2 linked regions of the Macaca fascicularis genome follow. Each later gene encodes a partner of the first gene's protein in a complex. Links are inferred from orthologs where the notes say so. Each region holds a gene or a part of one and is shown on either strand. Other genes may lie near its edges.

Region 1 (4,255 bases):
GATGGTGTAGCAAGAGCTCCCGTGTGGTCCAGGGCAGGTCCCTTTTCAGGCGTGTGAGAGCCATGGCCCCTCTCACCCTAAAGCATTCACACACCATTTTACATGTATTTTTTGGGGGGGAGGTCCATATACCCCAGATTCGTTCCTGGAATAGAGATAGATGTGATCCAGTGCAGATTTTGGGGAAATGCTTCTACATTGAAGAGGTGGAAGGAAGAAGAACCAGGAGAGCAGTTGTGTTCAAGTCATGACCTTTCATGGTGCCTAGAGAAGATGGCGCAGAAATGGCCTGTGCCTGGGACAGGGCGTCCCCACGCTCCTGCTGTGCGGGAGACTCTCCATGAAGGTTGCTGCTGCTTGTGCGAGCTCTGAGTCTGCAGTACTGCCGGCGGCCCCCACACCCACCGCCCCACATCTGCAAATTCAATCAACTGAGGATCAAAAACACTTAAAAAATGCAGCCATTAAAAAAATACAAAAAAAATCCACCCCAATAGTGTAACAGCTATTTGCATAGCATGTACATTGTGCTAGATATTATAAGTAATTTAGAGGTGATTTAACGTACATGGGAAGATGTGTGTAGGTTAGGTGCAAATATTGCTCTGTTTTATAGAAAAGACTTGAGCATCAGGGGATTTCGGTATCTGTGGGGGTCGTGGGATTGGTCCCCTGCAGATGCTGAGGGCGACAGGGCGCTGCTGCTTCTCTGAAATGACTCCTGCTGTCCCCATCGTCCTGTCCACGGCTGCCAGGGTCAGTGGAGAGCAAAGTTTCTGCTGTTGAGTGTTTATAGTATAACTGGGAAGATAGAAGACACAAATCCTAAAAGACTCCGGCCGGGCGCGGTGGCTCAAGCCTGTAATCCCAGCACTTTGGGAGGCCGAGGCGGGTGGATCACGAGGTCAGGAGATCGAGACCATCCTGGCTAACATGGTGAAACCCCGTCTCTACTAAAAATACAAAAAAAAAAAAACTAGCCGGGCGCGGTTGTGGGCGCCTGTAGTCTCAGCTACTTGGGAGGCTGAGGCGGGAGAATGGCGTGAACCCGGGAGGCGGAGCTTGCAGTGAGCCGAGATCACGCCACTGCACTCCAGCCTGGGAGACACAGCGAGACTCCGTCTCAAAAAAAAAAACAAAAAAAAACAAAAAAAACAAATCCTAAAAGACTCCTAATAATGGTCAAAAAACAGGAGAACATGTCAGATTCATCTTTATCTGTGAAAAGGTTATGAAGATGTAAAAGTGTGAATAAAGAATAAAGAGTGAAAATTTAAAAACTGGAGCACGAGAGATGCCTCAACCCTGAAGGAGCAAAGAGAGTTCCGAGGAGGCTCTGGGTTCTGTGTCTTCATAGGCTGGTTTGGGCTGAGACTGATTAAGACTGATTCAAACCTTCTCTTTGGAATGAAAATGTTTAATGACTCAAGGGAATAATGAAAACATTTCCAGAGAAAAATCTTTATATCATTAAAATTACGTAGATCAACGGAAATAGAACCCCATGCCCTTAAAACAGGACCGTGGTGAGCTCATCAAGGGGTTCCGTGGTGTCGTGACTCCGGGCAGACCTCACTCATCCTCAGATAACTACAGCTCCTTCACTGGGAGCATCTTAGTTTTTTACTACCGGTGTGTAATTGGAATAATAGCAACACTAAAATAGGCCTGTCTTAACTGCTTTCTTATTCTGAAGGACAAACAAATCTTAGGAGTCTTCTGATATATTTAAACTGGGTAACTCAGATAATGGAAAGAGACTTAAACTGAATCAGAAGCTCTCGCCTTTCTTGTCCTTGCTTAGTCTTTAGCTAGCGTTTTGCTTTCTCTCAGTCTGAGGTTGTTCCTCCCACTGGGGTTATTGTCTAGCTTAAGTGTTATTGTGGGTTTAATGACTGATGTATTCATGTAAGTTTTAAAACCGGTTTTGTGCTTTGCGGATGTAAATCAGCATTGTAAGAAGCTCTGTTATGTGTATAGTCTCCACCTGCGATTTCTTCTCAATAGAAAGCTATGGAAATGCTTTCTTCCCCTATGTTACTGCGTAGAGTCAGGCGTCTTTACTGGTGACAATCTGGGTTTGTCCCCTAGACGTCTCCAGCAATCTCTGTGGAGTTCACTCTATGATGCGTGATACTACTCAACTTTTGCGAGTTGTACAATTCACAAAGCTTAATAAGCATGTGCTGTTTTGGTCTTAAGACTGATTTATGGAAACGTCTTATGGGTATGGACGGGTGACTCAGCTCTGGCTTGCCCTGTTACCAGTGTGTTTAGGTGAGACTTCCGGTTAGTTCCAATGTATTAAGGGATTTGGAAATCATGAAGACACACACGTAGGCGTCTGCTGTGAACTCAGCTGGCAGAAGTGTTCTCATCTTTGTGGTCTTAGGGCTCTGGTCTCCTTCGTGGAACGTCCAGCTGCCTGTGCCTGAGGTCGGTCTGTTACTGGTGCCACAGACCGTGGTTGGCCCTGAGTCTGGGTGTGTGTACCTTCATTTCTCCTTTGTGAAAACACAGGCTACGGATGCATGTGTTCTCTTCCCTGTTGTTCTTTACAGCTGCAGACCTGTTCACAGACTTAGAAAATGCATTTCAGGGGAAAATTGATGCTGCTTATTTTGAGACCAGCAAATACTTGTTGGATGTTCTCAATAAAAAGTACAGCTTGTTGGACCACATGCAGGCAATGAGACGGTACCTGCTTCTGGGTCAAGGAGACTTCATAAGGCACTTAATGGACTTGCTAAAGTAAGACACTATTTTCATTTCTATAAATGAGTAATATATTTGACATGAGAAGGAATCTTGTGTTTAAAAGAATAAATTATATTAAAGGAAAATGAGTTGAATTCTTCGAGCATACTTTTTAAAATAAAATCTGAAAAAAATGTAAAATTTTCAAAAGGTAAAGCCCCTTTATTTTTCTCTGGTTATCAGCAGAGCATCATTGTCATGTTCTGTGCTTTATTCATAAGAGAAACTGGCATTTATTACCAAAACTATGGCGCTTACAGTCTTCATGTATGAGGAGTTTGTCTAATCACAATTAACTTTAGCTTTAGCTTGAAATAAAGTGAAAAATAAAATACACATTTTAAAATTGAATTTTACTTTTATATTTGTAGTTAATGTTTCACATAAAAACAAAACTACAGCCCTTTTTATTTTGCTCCCTGACATTTCTCATGGCATCTTCCCTTCCAGAGTTAAATGTGTGTCCTTCTCCACCAGTAGAGACAGAGACAGTTCTGGACCAGAGCCTGCTATGCTCCTGGGTCTAGAGACAGTGCAGACCCTGGCCCAGGCAGTGTGAGCCTGGGCATGAGCACCCCCGGGGGCCACAGCCTGGGCCTGGAGATTTTCACCCAAGTGTTTAGAAGAATGAAAGTTATTTTTTGGTGTTCCTTTTAGGACACTTAAAGTAAGCTAAATGTTCCCTTTAAGACACAAAATCAGCCGAGCGTGGTGGCTCAAGCCTGTAATCCCCGCACTTTGGGAGGCCGAGACGGGTGGATCACGAGGTCAGGAGATCGAGACCATCCTGGCTAACCCAGTGAAACCCCGTCTCTACTATACAAAAAAACTAGCCAGGCGAGGTGGCGGGCACCTGTAGTCCCAGCTACTCGGGAGGCTGAGGCAGGAGAATGTCGTAAACCCGGGAGGCGGAGCTTGCAGTGAGCTGAGATCTGGCCACTGCACTCCAGCCTGGGTGACAGAGCGAGACTCCGTCTCAAAAAAAAAAAAAAGACACAAAATCATAACTTACCTTTAAACCCTGCCAGTGCTGCCCAGGCAACTGTTTTAGGGCCTCAGATCCTCAAGTTTCAGTGGATTGCAGCCTAGAAAGCTTGCTTGTGGGCCCAATTTAGAGAATGAGATTTTCAGGTGTGGGGTGGAGGATTTGCATTTCCAGCAAGTTCCAGCTGCTGGTGATGCTGTGTTTGTGGGGACTACACATTGAGAACCACTGTTTGAGACATGCAAGCTCTTACATCTTACCTTCTAGCCAGAAGCCAGTCTCCTTTGTGAAAACTCATATGGCTTTTTGAGGCATACACAGCCATAGCTGGCTTGCGACATGCTCATGCCTTAGTCACAGCTGATGTCTGCTAACAGGTTTGTCAGAAAAGAAGGTTCACTAGTACAGTAAATGCTGGCTGTGATGAGGTCAACACCTGTTTGAAGTACGAGTGGTGATGAGCTTTTAAAGGGGAAATGTTCTCTAATGCCATGGGTATGCATGTGGGTGAGT
Region 2 (4,255 bases), on another chromosome or scaffold:
GTGAGGCAGACGACACACTTCTCCAGGCCGGCAGCGTGGAGGGACCTTAACGGAGGCCAGCATACTTCCAAGTAACGTTCCACAAGGGCCAAGCCTAACCTACCAGTTATTTCTCAACTGTGGGCTAAAACAAACCTAGGGGCCGAGCGCGGTGGCTCACACCTGTAACCCCAGCACTTTGGGAGGCTGTGGTGGGCGGATCACAAAGCCAAGAGATCAAGACCATCCTGGCCAACACAGTGAAACCCCGTCTCTACCAAAATACAAAAAAGCAGCCGGGCGAGGTGGTATGCGACTGTAGTCCCAGTGACTTGGGAGGTTGAGGCAGGGGAATCACTTGAACCTGGGAGGTGGAGGTTGCAGTGAGCCGAGATCACGCCACCACACTCCAGCCTGGCAATGGAGCGAGACTGTCTCAAAAAAAAAAAAGAAAAAGAAAAAAAAGAAAACCAAACAAACCTACAAACCTCACTCTGGAACGGAGCATTTAACCTGGGCTCAGGGAGAATGCAGGGTCCGCAGAGCTAGGTGGGAAACTGATTTGTCTTTATCTGCACCTGCCTCTTTTTGGAATTTAGCATTTCCTTCCATGATGAACCCGGGCAACAAAATGATGCTCGTGTGGGGTGCGTGGGGCCAACACGGACAGAAACCAGACATCTCCACGTTGTCATCTGAACAACCTCAAACATCATCTGCTTCGAGTGCGAAGGTGCTTTGTTTAAAGGTGCCCATTGTACCACATTGTATTTGGTCCGTTAGGGAAGACATAATATGTCCACATCACACATGCATCTTCTGAAAATATTTCAACAACGGTACGTCGACATGATAGACGTTAATACAACGCTTTGGGAACTAACATATATTTATGCATTTAAATATATCTCGCCGAAGAGAAGCCGACAGACCCCACCAGATCAGGAAATCCATGCACCAAAGAGGCTGAAGGACCTAGCTGGAGGCAATTTAATGTTCTGCACACAAAAGAATAAGGCCATAAGCAGCTGGGCCATTCCTGTCCTGGGCCGCATGGGCAGCAGCAAGTGGACGCCTGTCTGGTGTGTGCTTTCCTGAGACCACAAGCAAAACAAGGCCAGAGCCCCCCGGAGAGGGCAGCACGCGTCCTCCATGTCCCGGGAGCCCTACCTGTACGGGACAGGGCAGCACGCGTCCTGTGTGTCCCCGGGGAGCCCTACCTGTACGGGACAGGGCAGCACGCGTCCTCCGTGTCCCGGGAGCCCTACCTGTACGGGACAGGGCGGCACACGTCCTTTGTGTCCCGGGAGCCCTACCTGTACGGGTCGTGGATGATGCCCCTGTAGATCCACTTCTCCAGAACCTCAAAGTAGGGAGCGCTGGCCGCCTTGGTCAGGTACAGGCAGAGTTCCTGCGCCTGGCTGTCCCCTGTGTAGCTGAAGCTCCTGTCATGGAGCAGGCTCAGTGTGGACCCCCCAAGACACTCGCCTTTGTCCACTGAGGTGGCTGCAGGGAGAAAGAAAGGCTCACTGCCGAGAAGGAAGTGCACGCCTAGCCTAGCAACAACACTGCTGGGGCCCCACATGCTTCTCCAGCCTTCTTACTGGGACGTGCTGCTGCTTCTCTGGGATACGTATGAACTGTATGGCTGTAGCTGCTGATTTAAGCTGACCAGTGAGAGCCTCCAGGGCTTTCCTCTTGCAAGTTAATAACACATGGAGCAACAGGGGCTTTGGCCGCACGCACCTGCCCTGGGCGGCTGCTCCACAGCCCCTGTGGTCTCTCCTCACACCGGGTGCTGTGTTGAGACACCTGCCACCCACTGCCCCATGCCCCCCGGGCGGGCACGCACCGAGGGAGGCCAGGATGTCCATGGTGCGCATGGCCGGCTGGATGTAGAACCAGAGCTTCTGCAACGAAAGGAGGCCCTGCCTGTGCAGCTGCTCCAGCTGTGACACCAGGATCAGGTGCTCCTTCACCAGAGTGCGCATGGCGGCCGCCAGGGCGTGGTTCACCTGCCCGTACTCGAAGGAAGACTTCTCTTCAATGAACCTATGAGAAAAGCTGTCAGACTTCCTCAAAAAGGCAAGCTGCAGGCACATCCAACGTCTGACATTCTAAGTCTCATCCCAAACAGGAAGCACATGACTCACTCGAACCCCACATCCCAGAGGGGAACTTTTGCCCCTAGGAGGAGATGAGTCAGGACCCTGGACGGTGACTCACAGACCCTCCAAAACTGAGTCTGGCACTGTCCCCATGGTCATCAGGACGGGACCCAACCCCTCCCCCACAACAGGGCACGCCCCCAGCGACCGCACCCGGTGCCCACCTGGTCACGGTGGAGTAGCTGGCAGCCACCGGGAGGATCCTGTTCACCAGCTCCCTGATGGACAGGTCCAGGTTGGGGTCCACGAGGAAGGTCCGGCTCTGCCTCCCAGCCAGGGGCTGAGCAGTGACGTACCTCCCGTCCACGCCCACCAGCACGTACAGCAGGTCCTCCACCACGGCCGACTCCTGCGAGGCCAGGGGCAGCGTGCCTGCAGGCACAGACAGCGCTGTGGCCGCGGCCCCCACTCCCACGCCCCCACAGCCACGTGCCTCCTCCGCGGGTCAGTCTCACTCTTGCTCGTCTTGTTTATGGGTATAAAAGGTCGGCCACTGCACTTGGCTTTGACTGACCCCACTGGGCAGCCACAGGCTGAGTTCCGGCCACCACAGGACGCGGCCGGCCTGGGAGGCGGAGGGGCTTGTGTCAAGGTCTCACCACACTGGGCTCTGCGATGCTCAGATAATGGCTGACATTTGAAAAGATGAAGTTAGGAGTTGAAAAGGCAACTCCAGCAGAAGCAGCACTTTCAACATTCGTAAGTACAACTTGGTAAGTCTGGGTTACTCTGGTACAAAAAACCTTGTCTTCAAAAAGTTATCATTTATACGTTAAGAAACGCTGATAATTTCTATCCACACAGCATGAGACGGCTGCAGGACACACAGCTAAGTTTCCTCATGAGGACAGCCACAGGCCGTCACCTACCAAACCCCTCACGTCCCAGGACCAAGTTCTCAGTCCACAGCCTCAGGCGGGCCCTGCCTGGGGGGCCAGGAGGAGCACCAGAGGAAAGCACGATGTTGAAACTGTCCCCACGTGGGCCTGACAGGGCCCCGTGCCAGCCAGACCACACCCAAACCAGGCCCTAGCAGCTCAGGAAGGCTCCAAACAACACGCTTCCAGTTTACAAAATCACTGTCGGCCTCACACGTCTGCTGGGAAGTGTCCTGTACTGCAGGCCTCAAGACTCTGAGCGCAGCTGCAATCCGTCACCAACGCAAGCCCTTCGGCAAAAGCCTCAATCACGATGCAGATCCACATTGTCCTTGTTTTTTTTTCCTTTTTGAGACAAATCTTGCTCTGTCACCCAGGCTGGAGTGCAGTGGTGCAATCTCAGTTCACTGCAGCCTTGAGCACCTAGGCTCAAGCGATCCTGCCTCTTAAGCCTCCCTCAGAGCTGGGAACACAGGCGCATGCCACCATTCCCGGCTAATTTTTAAATTTTTTGTAGAGGCGGGGTCGGGCCGTGTTGCCCAGGCTGGCAGATCTACACTTTTCAGCTTCAAGTTCCATTTCTGTCTATTACTCCAGCGGCTTCTCAGGATGGCCAATAAAACAGGGACCCCGAGGTCTGCCATTCCTAAAGCAGCAGGTGTGGCGTGGGGGTTCGAGAACAGCAAGTGCATCTTCCAGGAACTGCCTCTGACTCTGCACCACTTCCTTTCCACCCTGTTGGCCTCATTCACCCACAGCCACGAAGTGGCCAGTGCCCATGTGGGGAGAAGCCTCACGGTGGGGTGGGGGTTAGTGTGGATCCGGCTGCCTGACTGTGGAGGGACCTCAAGGCCGGGCACGGCGGCTCACACCTGTAATCCCATCACTTTAGGAGGCCAAGGTGGACAGATCGCTTGACTCCAGTTCAAACCAGCCTGGGCAACATGACAAATTCCCGTCTCTACTAAAAATACAGAAATTAGCTGCGTGTGATGGTGCACGCCTGCAGTCCCAGCTACTCGGCAGGCTGAGGTGGGAGAATCACCTGAGCTTGGGCGGTCGAGGCTGCAGTGAGCTGAGATCACGCCACTGCACTCCAGCCAAGGCAACGAAGTGAGACCCTGTCTCAAGAAAAAAAGAAGTCAGTTGCTTCACCTCCCCAATATTCAACATCCTTGGTGTCTTCTCAACACCTGCGTCGTCGTCTGCGAATCACCACGTCCGAACGAC

The links.
Region 2: the proteins of TUBGCP3 (region 1) and TUBGCP2 are in contact, whole or in part, in a cryo-EM structure (PDB 8Q62), measured with the Homo sapiens proteins. The link is inferred for Macaca fascicularis from reciprocal best matches to the Homo sapiens genes TUBGCP3 and TUBGCP2. Residues at the interface, in NP_006313.1 of Homo sapiens: Glu272, Asn273, Cys274, Ser286, Leu287, Asp289, Thr290, Val292, Arg293, Glu296, Trp299, Ser361, Thr363, Leu364, Arg365, Leu368, Val369, Tyr372, Lys375, Ile376, Lys379, Ala382, Ala383, Asp386, His387, Ala402, Tyr403, Lys405, Thr406, Gly407; in NP_006650.1 of Homo sapiens: Gln172, His173, Pro175, Ile176, Phe177, Pro178, Trp180, Arg184, Ala186, Leu187, Ile188, Gly189, Phe191, Leu222, Tyr223, Val226, Val228, Asp229, Gly230, Arg231, Glu278, Ser281, Phe283, Gln287, His290, Ala291, Ala294, Arg297, Val300, Lys301.

Annotation. Positions count from the first base shown.
Region 1 is NC_088391.1:102,961,083-102,965,337, reverse strand, and holds part of TUBGCP3 (gamma-tubulin complex component 3), read left to right. Parts: intron 1-2,561; coding exon 2,562-2,751; intron 2,752-4,255. UniProt on the Homo sapiens protein: Component of the gamma-tubulin ring complex (gTuRC) which mediates microtubule nucleation.
Region 2 is NC_088383.1:142,360,931-142,365,185, forward strand, and holds part of TUBGCP2 (gamma-tubulin complex component 2), read right to left. Parts: intron 2,520-4,255; coding exon 2,312-2,519; intron 2,032-2,311; coding exon 1,832-2,031; intron 1,486-1,831; coding exon 1,296-1,485; intron 1-1,295. UniProt on the Homo sapiens protein: Component of the gamma-tubulin ring complex (gTuRC) which mediates microtubule nucleation.